6 linked regions of the Danio rerio genome follow. The main gene of each other region encodes a partner of the protein of the gene in region 2 in a complex. Links are inferred from orthologs where the notes say so. Each region holds a gene or a part of one and is shown on either strand. Other genes may lie near its edges. The genes, in order: ndufaf1, coa1, timm21, cmc1, ecsit and smim20.

What was found.
Region 1: coa1 (region 2) and ndufaf1 share a complex: the UniProt entries of both Homo sapiens proteins name them as parts of the mitochondrial complex. The link is inferred for Danio rerio from reciprocal best matches to the Homo sapiens genes COA1 and NDUFAF1.
Region 3: coa1 (region 2) and timm21 share a complex: the UniProt entries of both Homo sapiens proteins name them as parts of the MITRAC (mitochondrial translation regulation assembly intermediate of cytochrome c oxidase complex) complex. The link is inferred for Danio rerio from reciprocal best matches to the Homo sapiens genes COA1 and TIMM21.
Region 4: coa1 (region 2) and cmc1 share a complex: the UniProt entries of both Homo sapiens proteins name them as parts of the MITRAC (mitochondrial translation regulation assembly intermediate of cytochrome c oxidase complex) complex. The link is inferred for Danio rerio from reciprocal best matches to the Homo sapiens genes COA1 and CMC1.
Region 5: coa1 (region 2) and ecsit share a complex: the UniProt entries of both Homo sapiens proteins name them as parts of the mitochondrial complex. The link is inferred for Danio rerio from reciprocal best matches to the Homo sapiens genes COA1 and ECSIT.
Region 6: coa1 (region 2) and smim20 share a complex: the UniProt entries of both Homo sapiens proteins name them as parts of the MITRAC (mitochondrial translation regulation assembly intermediate of cytochrome c oxidase complex) complex. The link is inferred for Danio rerio from reciprocal best matches to the Homo sapiens genes COA1 and SMIM20.

The regions. Positions count from the first base shown.
Region 1 is NC_133188.1:36,685,625-36,689,795, forward strand, and holds the start of ndufaf1 (complex I intermediate-associated protein 30, mitochondrial), read left to right. Parts: upstream 1-1,371; 5' UTR 1,372-1,598; intron 1,599-2,079; 5' UTR 2,080-2,135; intron 2,136-2,206; exon of another isoform or gene 2,207-2,265; 5' UTR 2,266-2,326; intron 2,327-3,323; exon of another isoform or gene 3,324-3,326; 5' UTR 3,327-3,369; coding exon 3,370-3,888; intron 3,889-4,171. Other genes in the region: RNA polymerase-associated protein RTF1 homolog, read right to left, coding at 1,182-1,265. UniProt on the Homo sapiens protein: As part of the MCIA complex, involved in the assembly of the mitochondrial complex I.
Region 2 is NC_133177.1:53,227,630-53,231,776, forward strand, and holds the start of coa1 (cytochrome c oxidase assembly factor 1 homolog), read left to right. Parts: upstream 1-1,347; 5' UTR 1,348-1,421; intron 1,422-4,147. UniProt on the Homo sapiens protein: Component of the MITRAC (mitochondrial translation regulation assembly intermediate of cytochrome c oxidase complex) complex, that regulates cytochrome c oxidase assembly.
Region 3 is NC_133199.1:17,615,565-17,618,046, reverse strand, and holds part of timm21 (mitochondrial import inner membrane translocase subunit Tim21), read right to left. Parts: intron 2,441-2,482; coding exon 2,378-2,440; intron 996-2,377; coding exon 898-995; intron 1-897. UniProt on the Homo sapiens protein: Participates in the translocation of transit peptide-containing proteins across the mitochondrial inner membrane.
Region 4 is NC_133191.1:59,052,759-59,056,258, forward strand, and holds the end of cmc1 (COX assembly mitochondrial protein homolog), read right to left. Parts: intron 3,075-3,500; coding exon 2,984-3,074; intron 1,083-2,983; coding exon 962-1,082; 3' UTR 153-961; downstream 1-152. UniProt on the Homo sapiens protein: Component of the MITRAC (mitochondrial translation regulation assembly intermediate of cytochrome c oxidase complex) complex, that regulates cytochrome c oxidase assembly.
Region 5 is NC_133182.1:17,780,470-17,783,969, reverse strand, and holds part of ecsit (evolutionarily conserved signaling intermediate in Toll pathway, mitochondrial), read left to right. Parts: intron 1-2,503; coding exon 2,504-2,561; intron 2,562-2,889; coding exon 2,890-3,038; intron 3,039-3,500.
Region 6 is NC_133182.1:65,051,106-65,055,097, reverse strand, and holds the start of smim20 (small integral membrane protein 20), read right to left. Parts: upstream 2,801-3,992; 5' UTR 2,744-2,800; coding exon 2,635-2,743; intron 1-2,634.

The sequences.
Region 1 (4,171 bases), on a different chromosome or scaffold from region 2:
CTGTTTTTCCAAAATTTTTCCAGGCCTGGAAAATGTCATGTCAAAATTCCATGACTTTTCCAGGTTTTGCATGACCGTATGAATCCTGAACTCGTCTGTCACACTGCAATATTCTTCTGTTATTTTGCTTGTTTTGGCAAAATATGTCTGTAAGCACATGTGATTGCATGTGTTACCATCCCGTGAGTTAACAAACACGTTAAATGTTTACACAGCCAAACTTTAATCAAATTGAATACTTGTAGAGATATCATTATTAATTTGCCTTATACAATACATTGTTATGACTTTCTTCGGTAAGATTTTATTTGATGGTCCCTATTTCACATTTTGTTGGCTAAAAGTTGCATTGCAACTACATGCCAATTAATTCTCATTAGAGTATTAGTAGTCTGTCTGCTTAATATCTGTTGATATTGCTCTTTCAACATTGAACTGACTATAAGAAACTTTGCAAGTACATGTTACCTTACACTAACCCTTACCCCAATCTTACAGTCTACTTATAATCTAATGAGAATTAGTTGGCATGTGGATGCAATGTAACTTAAATTCAACCAATGAGTTAAATGGACCATGAAGTACTAAATAAAGTGATACCCATTCTTCTAATAACTACCCTAACTAATTATTTATCTTATTAATTGTCTAAAAGAGCTTTTTAATGGTCATTAGCAGTTTTATCATATATCACGGTGGGTTTGTTATTTATGGACAAAACAGTCAACTTTATTACATGAATATTTCTCCATGCTCTTATATCAATGAATCATGTGACTTTCTACCCAATCAGAGAGCATGTTTCTGGGAAGTGTTTGATGAGCGTCTGTCCGCTCTAGTGTTTCGTCTTATTTCTGCAACCGAAATAGAAGTTTAGCCGCGGCGCTGTGACGTCATAAAACAGTAAAGGTTCTAAACGCACGCGACTGCTTTCTTTACTAAAGCCGAAATGCGCGCGCACTGCAGGCCACAATAAAAAGCACTCCAAGCATCCCGAATTCAGGTGTAACTGCCTCAATAGCAGCACGACGCCACCATACAGGCCCCTGCTAACCAGCTAGCTTTCCCACATCACTTAGCATGGGACTCCAACACACACATACAGTCCTGACACATTTGTGCCCTAGAAATCGGCAAACAGCGATGTTTTTGGATCACATTCGCGTCAATGAGGTTCCTACCTGATCCAAATTATCATCGCTCGCACTATCCTCCGAGTCGGAGTCAATCACGACCCGACCTTTCCGTTTCTTTACATTCACCATGGTTAGCTGCCTGGCTCCCCTGTGTGTGTGTTTAAACAGCAGCGCCGCACTCCTCCACACAAAGGCGCTAGAGCTACACCGCGCATGCGCACACGCCACCACAAATACATCGACAAGTTTACAGTACCACTTACGTGCTGTTTCTGATAATGTCAAATATAATGTAAAGTACATTAACCACAATTATGATAACATTTGTTAACCACTAAATGTGGGGTTGGTAGGGGGTGAACTGCGAGGAATGTTCGTTGTCGGTAGGACCATAAGCGGATGTCCTTGTTTCAAGTAAGGGCAAATTAAATGACGGGCCGCGAAGGCGCATTTGACTTTTGTGTAAGTATTGCTTAAATATTTTTAATTTATTTATTGATATGTTGTTGATAAATGTGGTCACCGTCAGTGTTTGTACGTTAGCTTTGCTGTAACAATTAAACTTAATCTTCAAATCATGAAGTGTGGGGATTTTAACACGTGTTATTGTACCGCTGACCCTCTCTAGATTAATTTATAACCTTGTTGCTATGGAAGCCAAATATGATAATCCACATGCAAGAGGAATTCCCTGAAAATTACATCTTCATGTATAAAAACTGGCAGATTTATACAAACTTAAATTGCCTTAATAGGTATATACTGTTGTGTAATTGTATTTGTAAATAATTTCCATTTGGTGAGCTTCTACGATAGCAGTTATTTAAATGTACATTTTATTATATTCTCATCTGAATCCATGATTATTCACTTAATCTAAATCATAATAGTAATTACGCATTTATATATTATGTCCACTGTTTTTCTCTAAACCTTTCCATAGACCCTCTTGCACCTCCTTGAAAAAACTCGAATTCAAGAGATCAGCACCATTTTCAGGTACATTAATTTAATAATCACAATGCAAAAAAAAAAATGTTTTTTCTTACTTTGCTTTATCTCTTTTCTAGTCCAAATATCTAAAAAAAATCTTAATCAGGGAAAACTATTGCTGTGTTTTAAAATTCAGATGAAATGAGGCGAAGTTGAGAGTTTTCTCCTTAAAACAAGCAAAAACTTATGCTAGTGGGGTAAGTTAAATAATCCTGTTTTCACTTTGAAATGTAGATGTTTAGACTAGAATGACAAAAAACTTAAACGAATGTACATTAATTTTGTATTAAAACATTAATGAATACAATTCTAACGCTTTTGGTCAACTATAATCCAGACTTAACATTGCATGTCTTTGCAATGACTATTGCAGATGTGCACATTGCGATATCGATGCTGAAACTATATATTGTGCAGCCCTAGTTCCTGTTCAGTGATAATTGACTCAATAATTTTTTCTACAGTTTAAAACCTTCAAAGGGGTAGGTCACCTCAAAATTAAAATATTGTTCTCATTTACTTACCCTTTACTTGTTTCAACCTTTAATTAGTTTCATTCTTCTGTTACACACACAAAGTATATTCTGAAGAATTCTTAAACCTGCAATCATTGTTACATGGAATTTGGTAAGTGGTTACAGATTTTTACCATTCTTCAAAGTATCTTTTCTTGTGTAGAAGAAAGAAACCCATAAAGTAACCATTGAGTAAAAGGGTCGTAAATTTAAAATTTGTGTGAACTATTCCTTTAAATCAGAACAGGAAGTATTACATTTATAAAATAAAGTATGGGTGACTCGGTGGCTTGTCGCCTCACAGCAAGGTCACTGGTTCAAGTCCTGACTGGGTCAGTTGGCATTTCTGTGTGGAGTTTGCATGTGCTCCACGTGTTGGTGTGGGTTTCCTTTGGGTACTCTGGTTTCCCCCATAGTCCAAAGACATGTGCTATAGGTGAATTGAATAAGGTAAATTGTCTGTTGTGTGTGCGTCTGAGTGAGTGTGTATGGATGTTTTTCAGTACTGGGTTGCGCTGTGTAAAACATATGCTGTATAAGTTGGCGGTTCATTCCACTGTGACAACCCCTGACAAATAAAGAAACTAAGCTGGAATGAAAATAAATAAATGAAAATAATGGCTCTAAATGATGCATATACGATTTTACTGTTTGTTATAAATGTTTTTAATTTTTTCAGCAGTCTTCTGGATGTCTAATCTGATCCCAAGAGCTACCCAGACTAAATGGCTGTATCGAGAACAACACTCAAGTCCCTGTATGGAGTTTGTGGAGTGGTTTACAGACAGCCTCTGTTGTTCCCTTCCTCACTCAAATGTGCATCTATACAGATCACCAGGAGCAAGTTTGAGCGAGATTACCAGAGACCCGGTCAGCCTCCAGACACACGCTGGCCTTGGCAGATGATAAACTTTGATTTCTCCAAAGGTGTGGAGAGTGTCAGGAAGCACTTTGGCTTGTTAAAGGATGAGTTTTTCCAGCGCTGGATTGGACCGGAAGGAAAGCCAATAATAGAGCACATGCTGGAACAGACCCGTGTCGTGTGGGAGTTTCGGGGTCCTGAGAGTCTAAATGAGTGGATTGTGTCATCTGATCAGGAGATTGGGGGCCGCAGTGTGGCTTATGTCAGTCTGGGCAAAAACAACACCACGTGTTTGCTGTATGGGACCTTGAGCTCCACCCCTCCACGTGATGGAGAGACTCGATACAGTGGATACTGCTCTATGCGCTCCAAACCCCCAAAGGTCAGTGCTGAGATCCCACATCTGTGTCTCTTTATTATTTTTACCAACATTTAATGCATTTACTTAAGATTTTTTACATTCTGCAAACGTTATTCAATCAATGCATTTGTACAGCAGGTATTTAAAGAAATGGGACATAATACATTGCCAGATTCTTTTAAAAGTGCAGTAGGTGATCTTTCACAATGCTAACAGCTTAGCATAAATCTCTGAATCACAGTCCCTCCCCTGCCGTCCAGAGCCACGCCTCCTGAAACAGGAGCACGTGCACCTTAAAGATGAC
Region 2 (4,147 bases):
ATAAATATTTATTTATACATTTAAAAATAATAATAATTTAATTATGCATTTAACAATTTGTTTATATATTTATTGTGTGTGTGTGTGTGTGTGTGTGTGTGTGTGTGTGTGTGTGTGTGTGTGTGTGTGTTTAAATAGATCGATTTTTACACCTGCATCCTGCTGAAAATAGAACATCACAAACTACTCCAAATACGTAAATACAATATAAATACACAAATATTTGTAATGTTTTGTAAATAGCAGCACATTATTTAATTTTAAGTAATTTGCCCTCTGATTGTATATTTATTTATTGATTGATTTATTATTAAAGGCATTCCGTTAAAAACAAAAAACGTGACAAACTTCTCAAAATAAATAAATATATAATGGATAAACAAATACTTTTCAACTATATTAGCTTGTTTTGCAACTAGCAGCACATAGAACAACAGGTTATTAAAATTTTAGTTATTAAATACTGCAATACTGCCAATGCATGACTGTTTCATACATTTTCCTTCGGTTTAGTCCCTTTATTCATCAGGAGTCGCCACAGCGGAATGAACCGCTAACTTATGCAGCATGTTTTACACAGCAGATGGTCTTCTAGCTGCAACCCAGTACTGAGAAACACCCATAGAATCATTCAAACAAATACACTACGGCCAATTTAACTTATTCAATTCAGCAATAACAGTTACACGCATGTGTTTGGACTGTGGGGGAAACCCACGCCAACACGGGGAGAACATGCAAACTCCACACAGAAATATTTGTTTATCCATTATGCAGTCGAACCAGCTACCTTCTTGGTGTGAGGCGACAGTGCAAAGCACTGAGCCACCGTGTTGCCCGTGTATGACTGTTGTCCATGGAAATAAATGACCGTGTTCGTGAAATCACCAAAGACGACACATTGAAGACGCGCATCTGCATCGCGCTCAGCGCTTACTAAAGCACGCGCAAATTACACAACCAATAACGCGCTCACTCTTCAACATGCAAACATGTAATACTGTGCTCACCTGTGAATGTCCCCTCACAGCCTTTGATGTGGTTTTCTTACGCAACGTCAGCGAAATGAGAACGATAATGACATTCATCAACTGTGACTCAGGAAACTACTTTCATAACTCTTTTTTCGTAACCGCGCGTGCGTCTGACGTCACGCGTCGCACGTGTTTCTGTTGTCAAAAATGCAGATCCCAAATAAACATGCGATCTTGCTAAATTAATAGTTGGTAACATTACAGAAGATTGTACTGTATCATTTACAATATGATAAATCGCTTGGGGATTTCGCACGTGTGGTGCTCTTTTTTTCTAAAGATTTGATTCATTGACGTTTGAATAAAGTTTTTCAAAGAGGAAAATGGCCGCGTCCATAATGCGCCGCTCGTAGCGTCTTTATAAAAACAATAATAATCCATGTGCGGGTGAGTAATTTTATCTTAGTCAAAAGCCATTAAAGCATGCATTAATCTGTTGAATTTCAAGGCTCAATTCTGTTGAAATTCAGGGGCATCCATTTAAAATAAAAATAATGTTTAAGACCATCGTATATCTGCTAAACACCTTTCACTAGCAAAAAAAAAATACCACAGTATTACATGAATATTAATACGGTAGTAACCATGGGTTTGTGGCGAATTCATTAAATATATACAGTATATAACCAGCTTTACCAGAAATACCATGGTGAAGCTATGGATATTGAATCAAATGCCAAATGCATTTTCAACGTATGTTTGCATGGTTTAAAATATATAAGTATTTCTGGTAAAGCTGGTTATACTGTATGTGTATATATATATATATATATATATATATATATATATATATATATATATATATATATATATATATATGTGTGTGTAACCAGCTTTACCAGAACTACCATGGTGAAGCTATGGATGCATTTCCAAGTTATGTTTGGAATATTTGTATCGTTTAAATATAACAGCCAGATATTTTATGTATTATAATTACTTATAGGAAGGCAAATTTTTTGTCAGGAACAGTTAAGATGATAGCCGATTTAACAATATTAACACTTTAGTAATAGCTTTTTTTGTATCTATGATCGTCTTTGACGTTATTTATTATTAAACAAATCTGAGCCCTATAGCTATAATGGCCATCGCTAATTTGTGTCAGAGACGTTATTATTACGTCTTTTAAACACATTTCTGAGTCCTATGACTGTAGTTTTCCAAGGTCATTATGGTATATACACACATCCACAAATCTGAATAACTAAGAAATAAACAAATATTATTAAGCGGGTGAAGAAAATAATTTCGAGGATGTTCAGGCTTTACCATCGGCCTGTTGTTGTTTATTTAAAACAGTAACACTAAACAGCAAAATGGAGTCAAATGCAAGAATTTATGCAAGAATCTAATTAGTTTTTTATTTCTGGATATTTATCAGGGTACCCGTAGGGTCTTAAAAAGTCTTAAATCTACTGAAATATTGTGTTGTTTTTTTAAGAGGTCTTAATTTTCCTTTGTTCATGTGTAGCTACCCAATCTGGCCATTAACACCAATACAGTCAACGACAATCCATCTCAATAAAACTTTTAAGCTTTTATTTAAAAATAGCATTTAATTACTTTCCTTACAGTAACATTTGCTTACACGATATTTACTGCTGTGGATACTGACCTGACCTATATATTTTATTTTATTATTATTATTATTATTGTTGACTGAAATAATTGACAGCTATGTTTTTTTCTATTCTTCATAAGGGTTATAGGGTTTGTAAATAGATATATTTGGAAGTTAATAAAGCGAAATTCTAACAAAATATTTTATTATTGTATTATTAAATGTCTTAAATTTTTATATTTTTTGTGAAAATCAAAGTGAAAATCTTTTCTAACTGGAATATTTAAAAAAAAAGTCCTGTATAAGTCTAATATTTAATTAATAATGGAACGTAGTTTAACTTGTGGACATTATTTCTGGACATTTTCGGATGTTTACACTGAAAACTGGTTCAGAAACTGCTTCAGGTTTATTAGTGTTATTCAGACACAAGTGAATTGCATACACTGATAAAAATGTTAAAAGCACGTGCTGTTTCAGCCCATTGTAGATATTTGCTAAAGACCTTTTACTAACCAAAATGTCTTTAAAACTCTTAAATTTAACTTTTCGGACATTATTTCAGGACATTTCTGGATATTTACACTAAAATATATTTAAGAAAAATGCTTCAGTTTTATTTAGTTTTATTCAGACACAAGTGAATGCATACATTCCTAATATTTTAAAGGCATATGCTGTTGAAAAAAGAAAAATCACTTTTTAGATTATTTTTACACTTTAGGGATTAATATACTACACAAACACAGACAGAGAGAACTGAAAAGAATAAGTGACCTCTTGTAAATTCTGATATTCTCTGTATTGATGATTTCTACTTATGTGTTTCAGTAAAACAGGATTAAATCGAGTGATGACATTTATTCCATTTAAAATGAAAACATTGCTATTTAGAGCATTTATTTTGCTTGAAATAACAAAAGGATGCCATGTTTCAGAATTTTTTTGGACAACACAGCATCAATGTTTTTACTTAAAATCAAGAAATCAATATTTGGTGGAACATTCCTGATTTTTATCTTAAGAAGAAATGCTCTAAATGACAATATTTCATTAAAATACTCCCATATAAAATTAGCAGAAAAAAGTCTTATCAGACTTTTATAAAAATGAAACACATATTAACATTTGACTGAAACATAACAAACAAACCCAAAACGTCCAGAGAAACTAAGAATTTCCAAGTGGTCTCTTCATATAGTTTTATATACATTACCTGACAAAAGTCTTGTTGTTGATCTCAGTTGTAAGAGCAGCAAGTAATAACTTGATTTCTAGTTGATCATTTTGAAAAAGTGGCAGAAGGTAGATTTTTCTGATGAATCATCTGTTGATCTGCATCTCAGTGATCACAAATACTGAGAGACCTATTGGAAGACACCAGATTCTCAGAGAAATTAGTCAAGTTTGGTGAAGGAAAAATCATGGTTTGGTGTTAAATTCAGTATGGGGGCATGCGAGAGATCTGCAGAGTGGATGGCAACATCAACAGCCTGAGCTATCAATAAATTTGTGCTGCCTATTACATTACAAACCACAGGAGAGGGCA
Region 3 (2,482 bases), on a different chromosome or scaffold from region 2:
TTTTTTCTGCAACCCTCCCGAGTCTGGAGACAATCCTGTCTCTGAGGTCTACAAACAATTCCTTTGTCTTCATGCTTGGTTTGTGTTTTGACATGCACTGTCAACCCTGAGACCTTATATAGACAGGTGTATGCCTTTTCAAATTCAAATCATGCCCAATCAACTGAATTTACCACAGGTGAACTCCAATTAAGCTGCTGAAACACCTCATGAATGATCAGTGGAAACAGAATATACCTGAGCTCAATTTAGAGCTTTATGGCAAAGGCTGTCAATACTTATTTTCATGTGATTTTTCAGGTATTTTATTTTTAATACATTTTAAACAATTTCAAAAACTCTTTTTTTCACAGTGTCATTATGGGGTATTGTGTGTAGAATTGAGGAAATAAATAAATTTTATTCACTTCGGAATAAGGCTGTAAAAAAATGTGTGAAAAAGGAAAGCGCTATGAATACTTTCTGGATGCACTGTAATTTATAGGTTTACTTAATATAGACTGTGGAGAGGTAAGCATGATCGAACACCCAATAAAGGGGGAGAGCATGCTCAGAGCCCGGCGGCTAATCAGCAGGCCAATCAGAAATAATAAGCAACACCTGTTTATTCTAGTTTTTGGCCTGCTGATTAGCCGCCAGGCTCTGAGCATGCTCTCCCCCTTTATTGGGTGTTCTATCATGCTTACCTCTCAACATAGACATATTATAATGTTTAAATGAGGTAAAAGATGTACTGTATGCACACTACAGTAGAAAAACTATGAACATATGTTACAGATGAATATGATTAGCTCAATATGATTAGATCACAAGTTGTAGTCAACAGGCTGATTTATTCATGCATTTCAGACATTAGGTTTACACATATGTGATATATATAGCTAATGAATCACTGACCTCTGGATGAGATCTGCACCTCTCGAAAGCTTTTCCATAGATTTTGCTTGGGCTTGAAGAGGAAAAGAGTTCTTGAAAGACCACATACAGCAGGCCACCTAAAGCGATTAGAAAACATTAATCGGTTCACTTATTATACTGCTGAATAATATGTATATACAAATTAAAAAAAATATGCATAGAAATGATTATAACCTGCCTGCCTGCCTGAATTGCTAAAAGGTTCCACAGTTTTGCAAAGTGATGGCTTTATCATGTTATGACTATGGCTAGCTGTATTGACACAATATATATATATATATATATATATATATATATATATATATATATATATATATATATATATATATATATATATATATATATAGTAAAAAGTGCTATATAAATACATATGAATTTAACTGATTTGTATGATTATAATGTCTGTCTCATGTATTGTATTTGAGTCAGTGTTATCGTTAACAAAAAAAAAGACTTTGGAGCTGAAATGAAATATAAATACTTGTTTATTTATATGTTATATGGCGCAGTAGGAAGTGTTGTAGCCTCACAGCTAGAAGGTCGCTGGTTCGAACCTCGGCTCAGTTGGCGTTTCTTTGTGGAGTTTGCATGTTCTCCCTGCCTTTGTGTAGGTTTCCTCCGGGTGCTCTGGTTTCCCCCACAGTCCAAAGACATGCGGTACAGGTGAATTGGGTAGGCTAAATTGTCCGTAGTGTATGAGTGTGTGTGGATGTTTCCCAGAGATGGGTTGCGGCTGGAAGGGCATCCGCTGTGTAAAAACTTGCTGGATAAGTTGGCGGTTCATTCCGCTGTGGCGACCACAGATTAATAAAGGGACTAAGCCGACAAGAAAATTAATGAATGAGTTCAAAGTTGTTAAGATCACTATGTGCGTGGAAAAATATCATACACAAAATTACTAAAATCATTAAAAAAAAAAAAACTACTGAACAATAATAAACTATAATGAAGTAGTTGTTAATTTTAGTAATTTTGTTGCATTTTTATTAAATAGTATTTGGTTATTACATAATATATGTAAACAGATAATTTTGTCTTTAAGCAATACATTGCAAATTTCTTAACATGTTTAAACCATTGCAAGCATTACTAGAACGAATGACCATTTACTACATAGCCACATGTATGTTTTAGCATATTCATAACATATACTGTTATTAGCATGTTTTAATGCAAATGAGTTAGCATTTTGTCAGCATAACAAAAATGGTTAGCATTCCTAGAATGTCTAAACTCATGACCTGCATGTTGCTAAAATTAATTACTATGTTAGCAATAATGAACATTTTGCTGATACAAAATCCAAAGTGAATAAAATATAACTAATATCACTATTTAGACATCATCCTGTTATCATCATTAGGAAATGCATGTTGGTGCTTTCTGTTGGTTTTCTGGCACAGTAAGAACAGAGAATGGGGCCCTGAAACATAAGAGTCGTCAATCCAGACCTGGTTACCTGTTACACCGAGTCCAATGAGCACTACGATCAAATAGGTGAAATCTTTGCCAGCTTGTTTAACTGTTGAGGAAAGGAGACATTTATTTACTGAACAGCTACAAT
Region 4 (3,500 bases), on a different chromosome or scaffold from region 2:
TATATTTATATAAAATTTGCATATATATATATATATATATATATATATATATATATATATATATATATACCAATCAATGATACATCAACAAGAAATCAATGTATTTATTCATGAAGCAAAAATTTAATGACTCAGAAATGACAGTAAATAAATTTGATTCGAATGAATGCAGCAGTTTATTCTTCATCATGAAACATTAATAATCACAAATATTCTGATGATGAAAATCCAGCTTCATGTCACATCTATACATTAAAGGCACAGACGGACTTCATTAACAGTTTTATCTCATATTTTAATCTTTTAATTGGAGTTTTCAGATTTAGGTTTTATTTTAATGAAATAATTAATATTCTTTTGTTTTGGTCATTTTTTGGCAGAATAAACTCTGTACAGTTGAAGGCAAAATTTATTAATGAAATGCTGATTTTTTTCCCCAAGTATTTTCCAAATCATTAAACAATAACTTTACCCTGATTACCCTGGTGAACCTTTAAATGTCACTCAGCCGAACACTAGTGTCTTGAAGAATATCTAGTTGTGCTGTCATCATGACAGAGTAAATAAATCAGTTATTAGAGATGAGTTAGTAAAACTATTATGATTAGAAATGTGCAAGACAACAATAATAGCTGTCTTCAACTGTACACATATAAATAAACAACAGATCAACATTAAACATGTTTTATTATAATCAGAGCGATCAGCGCTCAACATCTGAATGGAGTAAATCTGCACGTTTAACACATGTAAACCTGCAGAAAACAGCAGATCTGTGTGTGTGTGTGTGTGTGTGTGTGTGTGTGTGTTTCAGACCCGCTGTGTGTTTGATTCCCTGGAGACACACACACACACAAACACACACATGTGCATTGAATGCATTGAGTGATGATCAGCGAGGGATGATTAATCATGAATATAAAGGGAGTGTGTGTGTGCGTGCGTGCGTGAGTGTGTGTGTCTACATGCTGGTGGGAAGCTTCTGTTTTCTGCTTTTGGTCGGGACGCCGGTCTGTTCATACTGCAGCTTCTCCTTCAGATATTCCTGTTTACACTCCTCGAAGAACACCGGATCCCGATAACTGCAGCCGAACACACAAAACAATAAAAAAGAAGAAGAAAAAATGTCAAAATATTGTTAATAAAGTCAAATTTAGAGGAAAAAAATTCATTTTTGGAGAAAAAAAATCCTGTTGTGTTTTGAGAAAGTGTGTTACACTTTAAGATGCTGAGAATAAACTTCTTACATTCTGAGACAAAAACAAATTGATTAAAAAACCTGTTTAGTGTAAAACTTTTATCATCTGAACATGAGTTTATTCTCAATATTTTATTTCCTTCTCTACTCTAAATTTAACGAGATCTTCAAGAAACAAAACTGTTTTGAGAAATAAATCATTTAAGAATAAAATGTAGGAAATAATGTAAAATTCAGAAAAAAACTGCTGGATTTTGAGAAAAAAAAATCTAAATAAATGTTGAGAATAAAATCTTCACATTCTGAGAAAGAAAACGTTATTTTCTGAAGTGTTTAGAGTAAATCTAGTTTCCTCTAAGTTTGATGAGTTTATTCTCAATATTTGATTTCAAACTTTTCCTCCAAATTTAAAGTGTTCTTCAATAACGTGTCATTTAGAGATTAAGGTTGTTGTGTGTTTTTTAAGAAATAAATCATTTAAGAAAAATGTCAAAATCAAATGAAGAAAGTCAAACTCAGAAAAAATAAAAATAATAATCAAACGCTCAAATAAAATCATTACAATCTGAGCAAAAAAGATTAATATTAGTGTTCTTTAAATTGAAGGTGTTCTTTAAGAAAACAAAGTGTTGGATTTTGAGGGTAAAGCTGTTTTTGTTTTGAGATATAAATCCTTAAAGAAAAATGTAAAAATCAACTGTTGGGAATAAAATCAAACTCTAAGAAAAATGAATCCTGTTGCCTTTTGAAAAATAAACAGTTGAGGAAAAACTCAAATTCAGAGAGTAAAACTTGTTTTCTACATTTATTCTCAACACTTTTTTCTCTCTAAATTGAAGGTGTTCTTCAAGAAACTGTTGAATTTTGAAAATAAAGTTGTTTTGTTTTGAGAAATAAATCCTTTTAAAAATGCCAAAATCAAATGTTGAGAATAAACCAATTCAGAGGAAAAACAAAAAAAAGTGTCTGGAGTCAAACTTTTTTCTCAGAATTTTTATCTTCAAAATATATATATATTTCAGCAGTTTGTTCTGTAAATTAAATGTTCTTCAAGAAAACAAAGTGTTGTATTTTGAGAATAAAGCTGTTGATTTGTCTAGAAATAAATCCAAATATCAAAGTAAAATGTTGAGAATAAAATCCAACTCAAACACAAAAAAGAATCCTGTTGCATTTTGAAAAATAAAATGTTGAGGAAAAACTCAATTAATTGTGAGAATATATATATATAAAAGTAGAAACGTGTTTAGAGTAAAACTTGCGGAGTTTATTCTCTACATTTGATTTTAACATTCCCTTGCTCAGAAATAAAAAAATGTGTTTAGGGAAAACCTTGTTAGATTTTGTTTGAAATATTGAAATTAAATGTTGGGGATGTGATGCTCAGAAAAAAAACGTGTTAAATTTAGGAAAAATAAAATTCACATTTTGTTTCAAACTGAAAGAACGAATCAGCTCAAAACAGCGCAAAAACAACCAATTTTCACATTTAGTGTGATACGCGTGTCCTAATAGTGTTTATAGCTGTGTGGGACACATATACGACTGTCAACAGCTCAACACGTCTGTTCACGACCCTTTAAACTAAACAAAGTCAATATTGCTGGAGAAAATGTTCAAAATTAAAGCACAAATTTGTACAATTTAAAAAATATATTGACAAAGAATGAAATGATTAAATTCAGTCAAAACCACATGCTGAGAATAAACACACACACACACACACACACACACATCTGAGGGAAAATGATAATGAGTGTGTGAATGTAGAAGAGAGAAACTCACTGCTGCGTCAAACACTCTTTCAGCGCCGCGTTCTCCTCACGACACTTGAAGACCATGAAGAAACCCGAGTCCTTACAGCAGACGTTGAACGCTGGACACACACACACACACACACACACACACACACACAATTAATTAATGCTGTTTCTCTTTTGAACACAGGAACTCATTCAGTGTGTGTGTGTGTGTGTGTGTGTGTGTGTGTGTTCATTAAGCATTAATTACACTCCTCAAAGCTCCTGCAGAAACTGACCGTCATCACCTGATATACCAGAGCGCTCCCTCACTGAAGCGGAGCAGGGCTGAGTCTGGTCAGTGTCTGGATGGGAGAGCACATGGGAACACCAGGCTGCTGTTCGCAGTATTGTTAGTGAGGCCAGCAGGGGGCGCTCAACCCGTGTTCTGTGTGAGTCCTAATGCCCCAGTGTAGTGAAGGGGACTCTATACTGCTGTTAAACCGAGCTCCTGACTCTCTGTGCTCAGTAATAACCCCATGGCACTGCTGATACAGAGTAGG
Region 5 (3,500 bases), on a different chromosome or scaffold from region 2:
GTATGTTTATTTAAGCTCAGCAGTGCTGCATTTATTTAATAGTACAGTGTAGTTATATACAGGGTTCCCGCTTTTTCCATGAACACCACATTCAAGATTTTTTTTTTGCCTGAGCACCATTCATTTTAAATCAAGCACCTTTGTAATTCTTACCACAGCGTATGTAGCACCATGAAAGTCCTTATTGTACTTATCATTTCACTTACACTAAATATTTACATTACAAATATACAAATCACAGAGTAACTTTCTCACATTTTGACTGTTTTAAATGGTCGTTTTTAAAGATTTTAATAACATGTTTAAATGCAGTTTCTAAAATATTGATAAAATGTGCATTATTTGTCGTTATTATTGTATAAGAGTTACATTTAATTAAATATTTTTTTTTTTTTTTTGACATCAGCACATTACACTTGTTGAAATAACACCATAAACAAATTTAATTTCAAATCCAATTCAAGCAATTTCCAGCATCTATGTTGTTTTTATTATTATTTTTATTTATATATTTTTTTATTATTAATTGTTAACAAAACATACAGGCTGAAAAACCTATATAATGAAACATATCAATTAAAAAAAAAACACCCCCCTCCCCTGCGGTCTCTTGAAACTGGGCTTTACAATGAATAGAAGTTAACATAAAAACAAAAACAGAATACAGTATCAAATATCAATTATACAAAGCAAGGCAATCATTCTGGATCCTGATCATTTCTTTGTGCAATAAACAAGGAGATTTTGTCAGCAGCCAAAGTCCAGATCTGTAATGTACCCATTTGTACCAAGTTCACTCGCGCCGTGGATAACTCCAACATTATAATGTCTTGAAGTAGCATCTATGTTGTTTTTAAGTACTTTCTAGGCCTTAAATCGATATGTCTGAAAGGAAAGTACTTTCATGAAGTGTGGAAACCCTGGAAATATTATTTCAATTTTAAATAAATTTTCTATTTTATTCTGATTTAAAGAATTATATTTAAATATATTTTAAAATGTAATTTTAAGTCTTAAATTTCAAAAGCACATTTTTTGCATTAAAAAATTGTAAATTCACTGAAATATTGTGTTGTAGGTCTTAAATCATTTTAAACAGGTCTTAATGTACCTGTTCTAACTTACCGGTTGGGCCAGATGGAACCTGCGGACATTTTTTGCTATTTCTGCCCAAAATTTTTGTACAAATCTGCGGATTTATGCGGAATGATTTTGGGAGTATCATCACTAAAAGCTTAAAATATGCAATAAAAAGTGATACCTTTTAAACTTGAATTTAATGTTTACAATGCAAATCCATCTTGATCTACTTATTTAGTAAACAAAGCAAGACTCTCATATATCGACTAAAAGACTGAAAATATTCATTTGCAAAGTGTATTGTAAATAAATCGTATAAATATTTTCATATTAGTCAACAAAATTAATTTTAAAACTGAATAAATCTAAATTTACAAACATTTACACAAGTAAATAAACAGAATGAATGATGGGCTAAAAATCTGCAGAATTCCGTGCGCGCAGATTCCGTGTGGGGTTACATATCGGGCCGACACATGACAACTTTTTTTTTTATATTTAAGTTTTTTTATTGCAAAGAAAAGCAATTCAAAACAGCTGTTAAGACATGTTTTACAGAAAATTCTCCAAAATAAATTTGCTAATCTAATTTAGAAAACTAAAGCAACACATCCATTACATGATCTTCCATTAACACAAAAATTATCCGCTTGTTAAGTGTGACGTCACGTGAAGCGGCTTCCGGGTCCAAGCGCTCTATTCAACTGAATGGGGAGACTCATGAAATGGTAATAATAAACATTTACAAAGCGATTTAATGCTTTCGAAAATCACGATCGCAATATATGTCCATGTCTAAAATCCGATGGCCAGAAAGTGATTCATTGTTTATAAATTGTTAACATTTTGGTATTTGTTAAGGAGCAAGCCCAGAGATTGTTGTGTACACTGATTTTATATAAACTTAACTTTAATGTGTGATGGCAATAAAACTAATGATTTCTCCACTCAAATGAATGGCGGCTTGGACCCTGAAACAGTATACATACGTCACAAACACGTCACCACTTAACAAGCGGATTTACAGACGTAACCAGGCCAATAGAAAAAATCCTAAGTGTTTAGCCCTGTATACGTCTAAAATTTCTTTCATAATAGTCTTTAAAATCGTAAAGAAACCTGCAGAAACCCAGATGCAATGCTGAATATTCAGCAGCCATTATTCCAGATCCTTCAGAAATCATTGTTATACCCAGATTTAGTTCTTAAGAAACAATTCTTATTATCCAATTGAAAACAGTGTTTATTTCTATTTAAGTAACATTATAAATCACTGTAGTGTATTTTGTATTTAAAGTGCCTCCTGCTAAAAAGTATCTCATCGGTCTCATTCTTTTATTGGTAGTGTGTATTTCACAATGTTAGGAAATAATAAAGGCTTTCAGTCTGATAAATGTGATTTATTATCTTTTACTCTTTGCAGTATCCGTCAACAGACATCACAGAGACAGGAGAAGAGATCACACGTCCTCATATTGTTGGTATGTACTGTAGGTCTAACCATTAAATGTTTTCCATGTCTTTTAACTACCACTGAAAATATGAAAGATCTCATTTGTTTATCAACAAAATGCTTTGGGTCTTTTTAATACAAGTTATAATTATTTAAATCCAACAAAACAAAAGCTCAAATGAACATAATTTGCTTGCCCTAAAGTTATTATGAATACTTTTTTGTTTTTCTGTTAAAAACCTCAAAAATATACTTTGAAGAATGTTTGTAACTAGATGCCACTAATTTTTAATTTCTGGATATTGTTTGGAGAAATAAGCACGAAAAAGAGCCTATCGCATCTTTCATGTTATCAGGTATCCAGAGTCCAGACCAGCGCTCTCTTCTGGCCAAACACAATCCCTGCAAGCCTGTGTTTGTGGAAGGCCCATATCCACTGTGGCTCAGGCAAAAGTGTGTTCATTACTACCTGCTCAGAGCAGACCCTATACCTCCTGAGGAAAAGGTACTGGCATCGGGCTACTGATGGCATTTAATACATTTGCTTAATATATTATTATTTACATATATTTGATGTTCTTTTGAAACAAGCCCTTTATGGTCCCTAATGCTGCATTTGTTTGATTACAAATAAGTAAAAGTACTATTTCTTTTTATTATTATTATTATCAAAACTAAAGAGTTTTTACTGCCTTATATAATTATGGAAACTTAGTTTAACAATTTGGATAAAAAAATAATAATAAAAAAAAAATATATATATATATATACATTCAGCCAAGATAGATCTAATTAATTGAAAAACATCAATCGACAGTGTTTGCATTAATAATGTCTCAAAGGAAATCAATTTTCAAATAAATTGTGCATGATTGTTTTTAAATATTATATGCAGTAAAAACTATTTTCAACGCAACATGATTGTATTTAAATCCTTAATAATAATTTGGAATGACTAGTAATTAAT
Region 6 (3,992 bases), on a different chromosome or scaffold from region 2:
GTTTCTGTTCATAAAAACTTTAAGTTTAATGCCTATTTATAAATATTATGTCTACTCCCCCTTACTTCTGTAAAGAGTTTTTGTATGAATGGAAGATAATGTTAAGGGATATATTCATTCATTTTCTTTCGGCTCAGTCTTTTTATTATCTGGGATCTCCACAGCGAAATCAACCACCAACTTATCCAGCACCTGTTTCACGCAGTGGATGACCTTCCAGCTGCAACCCATCCCTGGGAAAGGAAAGGGATATATTACTCTGTTATTATCATGAGGAACTGTGTAATGGTTTTTAGTTCTCTTTCCTTGATTTTATTAAGATGGATTGTTGGTGATTGGATGGATGTTTGCCCGATTGTGTAGCTTTAATTGGACAGAGGAAAATTAAGATCAGTTTAAAATGATTTAAGACCTACAACACAATATTCCAGTGAATATGACTTTTTAAGGCCTTCAATTTTGTTTTAGAAATTTAAGACTTTTTAAGACTCCGCAGATACACTGAAAAACTGCACTGTAAAAAAATGCAAAATGCTGGAATCCACGCAATTCCCAACACAAATCAATTAAGTTAACTTAACACATAATAAAAATCCCCTACACTCAGAGTTTCAGCTCCTTCCATCTAGTCGTTGGTTTCTTGTAACAAGCTGTAGAAGTAAACGATACTTGTATATCAGAATCAGAAAAAGCTTTACTGCCAGGTGTGTTCACACGTGCTTTCCTGACAGAGCTTTCTACAGTGCAACAGAATTACAAAGACAGGACAAAAAAACAGATAAAAAAATGTATTTTAAAAATAGAAGTAGAAAGTGAATGCAAATATACAAATTGACAAGTGTGTGTACATGTGTATTATTATATACGTTATATGTGCAGCTGTTATGTGTAAATTGGCATGTAAAGTATGTTGCTAAATAAGTGTATATGTGGATTAAAAGTGTATAGCTATAGCAAGTAGTGATGTTTTTTCTTTTCATAATTATGAGATGGATTGCCTGAGGGAAGAATCTGTTATTGTGTTGGGCTGTTCTGGTGCACAGTGCTCGGTAGCGTCGACCAGAAGGTAAAAATTCAAAGAGGCAGTGTGCTGGGTGTGAGGGGTCCAGAGTGATTTTGGCTCTTGAAATAATTATTTATTTATTCTTTTTTTTTTTTTTTTTAAAGAGTGTACGTTTTGTACGTTTATGTTTTATGTCTATTTGTTGTTGTCACTATGTGAGTTTTTTAGTGTGGCACTGCTATGAAATGAGGACTCTTGACTGCAAACCAAATCTACCTTTGGGTATAAGTAACCTAACCTAATATACATACAACATGTCTCATTCAAGAGAGCTCTGCATTGTATGTAATTCAACGTAGAATAAAATCAGCATCATAATATGTGTACATTCCTTAAAACACTGAAATATTATTTCTATAATTTACATCAGATTATAACGACTGTTCAACCTGATTATCCCAATAATACGTTTTTTAAATGTATTTTTAAAGTTCTTTTTTATCATACAAGAAAGAACAATACAAAGATACAGTATGAACAAAGAAACAAAAAGGGTTACATGACTAAAATTCCAGCAAAATAAACAAGTTTAAAAGAGTTTTACATGTAATATAATAGTCCTTTCTGAAAATAAAAAGTAAGGATGTTTTTTTTTTTATTTACATTTATGAATGTAAAATTTAGCCAAAAAAAGCAATAAATTAATAATAAATTTACAAAGAGAAGGATCTACATTCAGAAAGTAACCAAAGAAAAACATTTTGGGGAAATACAGAAATTTGGAAATAAGATTTTTTTTAATGAAATCGAAAAAGTCAACCCAAAACACTTGACAGGAAGTGCACTCCCAAAATAAATTATTTAGTGTTTCATTATATTGAGTACAAAATGCATAAAGGGAAAATATTGTTATTATATTTAGCTAGTTTTGGTATTTATTGGATGGCAATTATGAATTATTTTGATTGAGACTTTAACAGCTTTATTAGATGAAAATAAATTTATAAGATAAGATTCTGACAGTATGATAACCTTGAATAAAATATGACAGTTTCACGGTTCTACGGTAATACTGTATATGGTATTGTGATTACTGATCTAAAATGTATTTTTTTTTAAATATCTGGGTAAAAATAAAACATTTTCCCCCACTTTAAACACAATATATTTTATTTGGAGAAACAGTTAAAATTGTTTAGAACAGTTAACATGTGAGGCTAAATAATTCAAATGAATCATTGACTTATGTGGTCTTCAATTGATTTAAAAACACTAACTTTTTAACCATTTAAAATGACATCGTTGGATATCGTTTCTGCTGGAGATACTGTTGTCATAAAAAAGAAATGTAAATAAAAAATCGTACACATACCTTAGAAACGGTAAGTTATATAAGAAAATGTTGACAATTTTAAAATCTTAACTTTTGCAAACCGCGCTATACCTTGAAAACCGTTAACAGTTATTTTCCCATGCCTAACGTTAATCCCAATCTATGTCACCAAATATATTATTCCAATACGATTAATAAGTTACAAAATGCAGGGTAATCGAATGTGACGTTATGACATAAGTTAAGTTTAGGCTGTGTCACGGTGACTTCATGTGTAGTAGTGATATTAAACACTTACTGTAGTCTTCAGAGTGTGTGAGAGGATGAAAAAATATAGGATAAAAAGCTGCAGCAACAGCTGCAACGAAGCCTCCAAATATGAGCGTTATCCTCTTAGAACTGGACATGATTTTGACAGTTTCACCTCACTCGAGGACGCAAACACACTCAAGTTGTTCCGGGGTGAAGTTCACGTTAGAAATAAAAAGTTTAAAGTCTGTTCTTAACTAAAATATATTATGCATACTTCAAGCGCAAAATTAGGGTTATTATAATGTTAATGAATATTTACAGAAGTATGATATTGTACTCATAAAAATAGAAGTATTTCATATGATCATGTCAGTGTTATAATTGATAGTGCGGCTTTTATTTTGCCCGGTGTTGTCCCGTCATGCATTGTGTATGTGTGTAGTGTTGCTGTGTCAGTGTGTGTAGTGATCGCCGTCTCTCAGCTGTAAAAATGTCCGGCAGTAACTCATACAGACTGCGCTCTTCTCTCCCGGCGCACGACATGGATGTCCGGGGTCTTGCCGCTGTCGCCTTCCCGGACGGAGCGTTCGTGTCGGTGTCCAGAGACCGGACCGCGCGGGTGTGGGTACCAAACCCAAGGTACTCCAGCTCCAGCTTCCTCCTGTTGTGTCTCACACCGGCTTTACATTTGTTTTTGTCGTATACTAAGCCGTTTGGTTCGTAGTTTACAGAGTTGTTTAGCTGTACCGTACGTTGGTATATTAAGCACACTATCATTCACTTTCATCTGAGACGAAACTAAAAGGCTATCATTTCCTGACAGTGACGGATCTAAAACACTCCACTAATGAGCGTTAAAGCAATAGTAACGGTATATCCAAAATTAAAATGAAATGATTTACTCGCATTCTTCTTGTTGTTATCAAACTGTATGTTCCCTTCTATCCGTGGAACTGTTTTGACATCGTTACCATTTACTTCTTTTAACAAACAATGAAACTGAATGAACACTGAGAGTCATTCTGCCTTTTGTGCTCCACAGAAGAGTCAAGCACTGTTAACACATTTTGTGTGAAAACTATGTTTTTATAATTCTCTAACGTCATAAATTGAGTTCCGTTCTTTTTATGTGAAGCTTTATTACTTATTTATTGGTATCCATCACTGCCAGACTGTGCCAGTGCATTAGAGCTGAGCGTTGCTGTTTACTTAGAGAATGTAGGTTACATTTAGAAACACAAAGGCATAAATAACTGCGTTAAAATGAAGATAACGTTTAAACCAACATTAATTTAGAATCAATGGTTTAAAAAGGTGTATGTAGCAAATTAAAATCCAAATTAAGAAAATATTTGGTGATTTTATTCGGCAAAAGTGCATTATATTGGTTCAAATGAACAATGT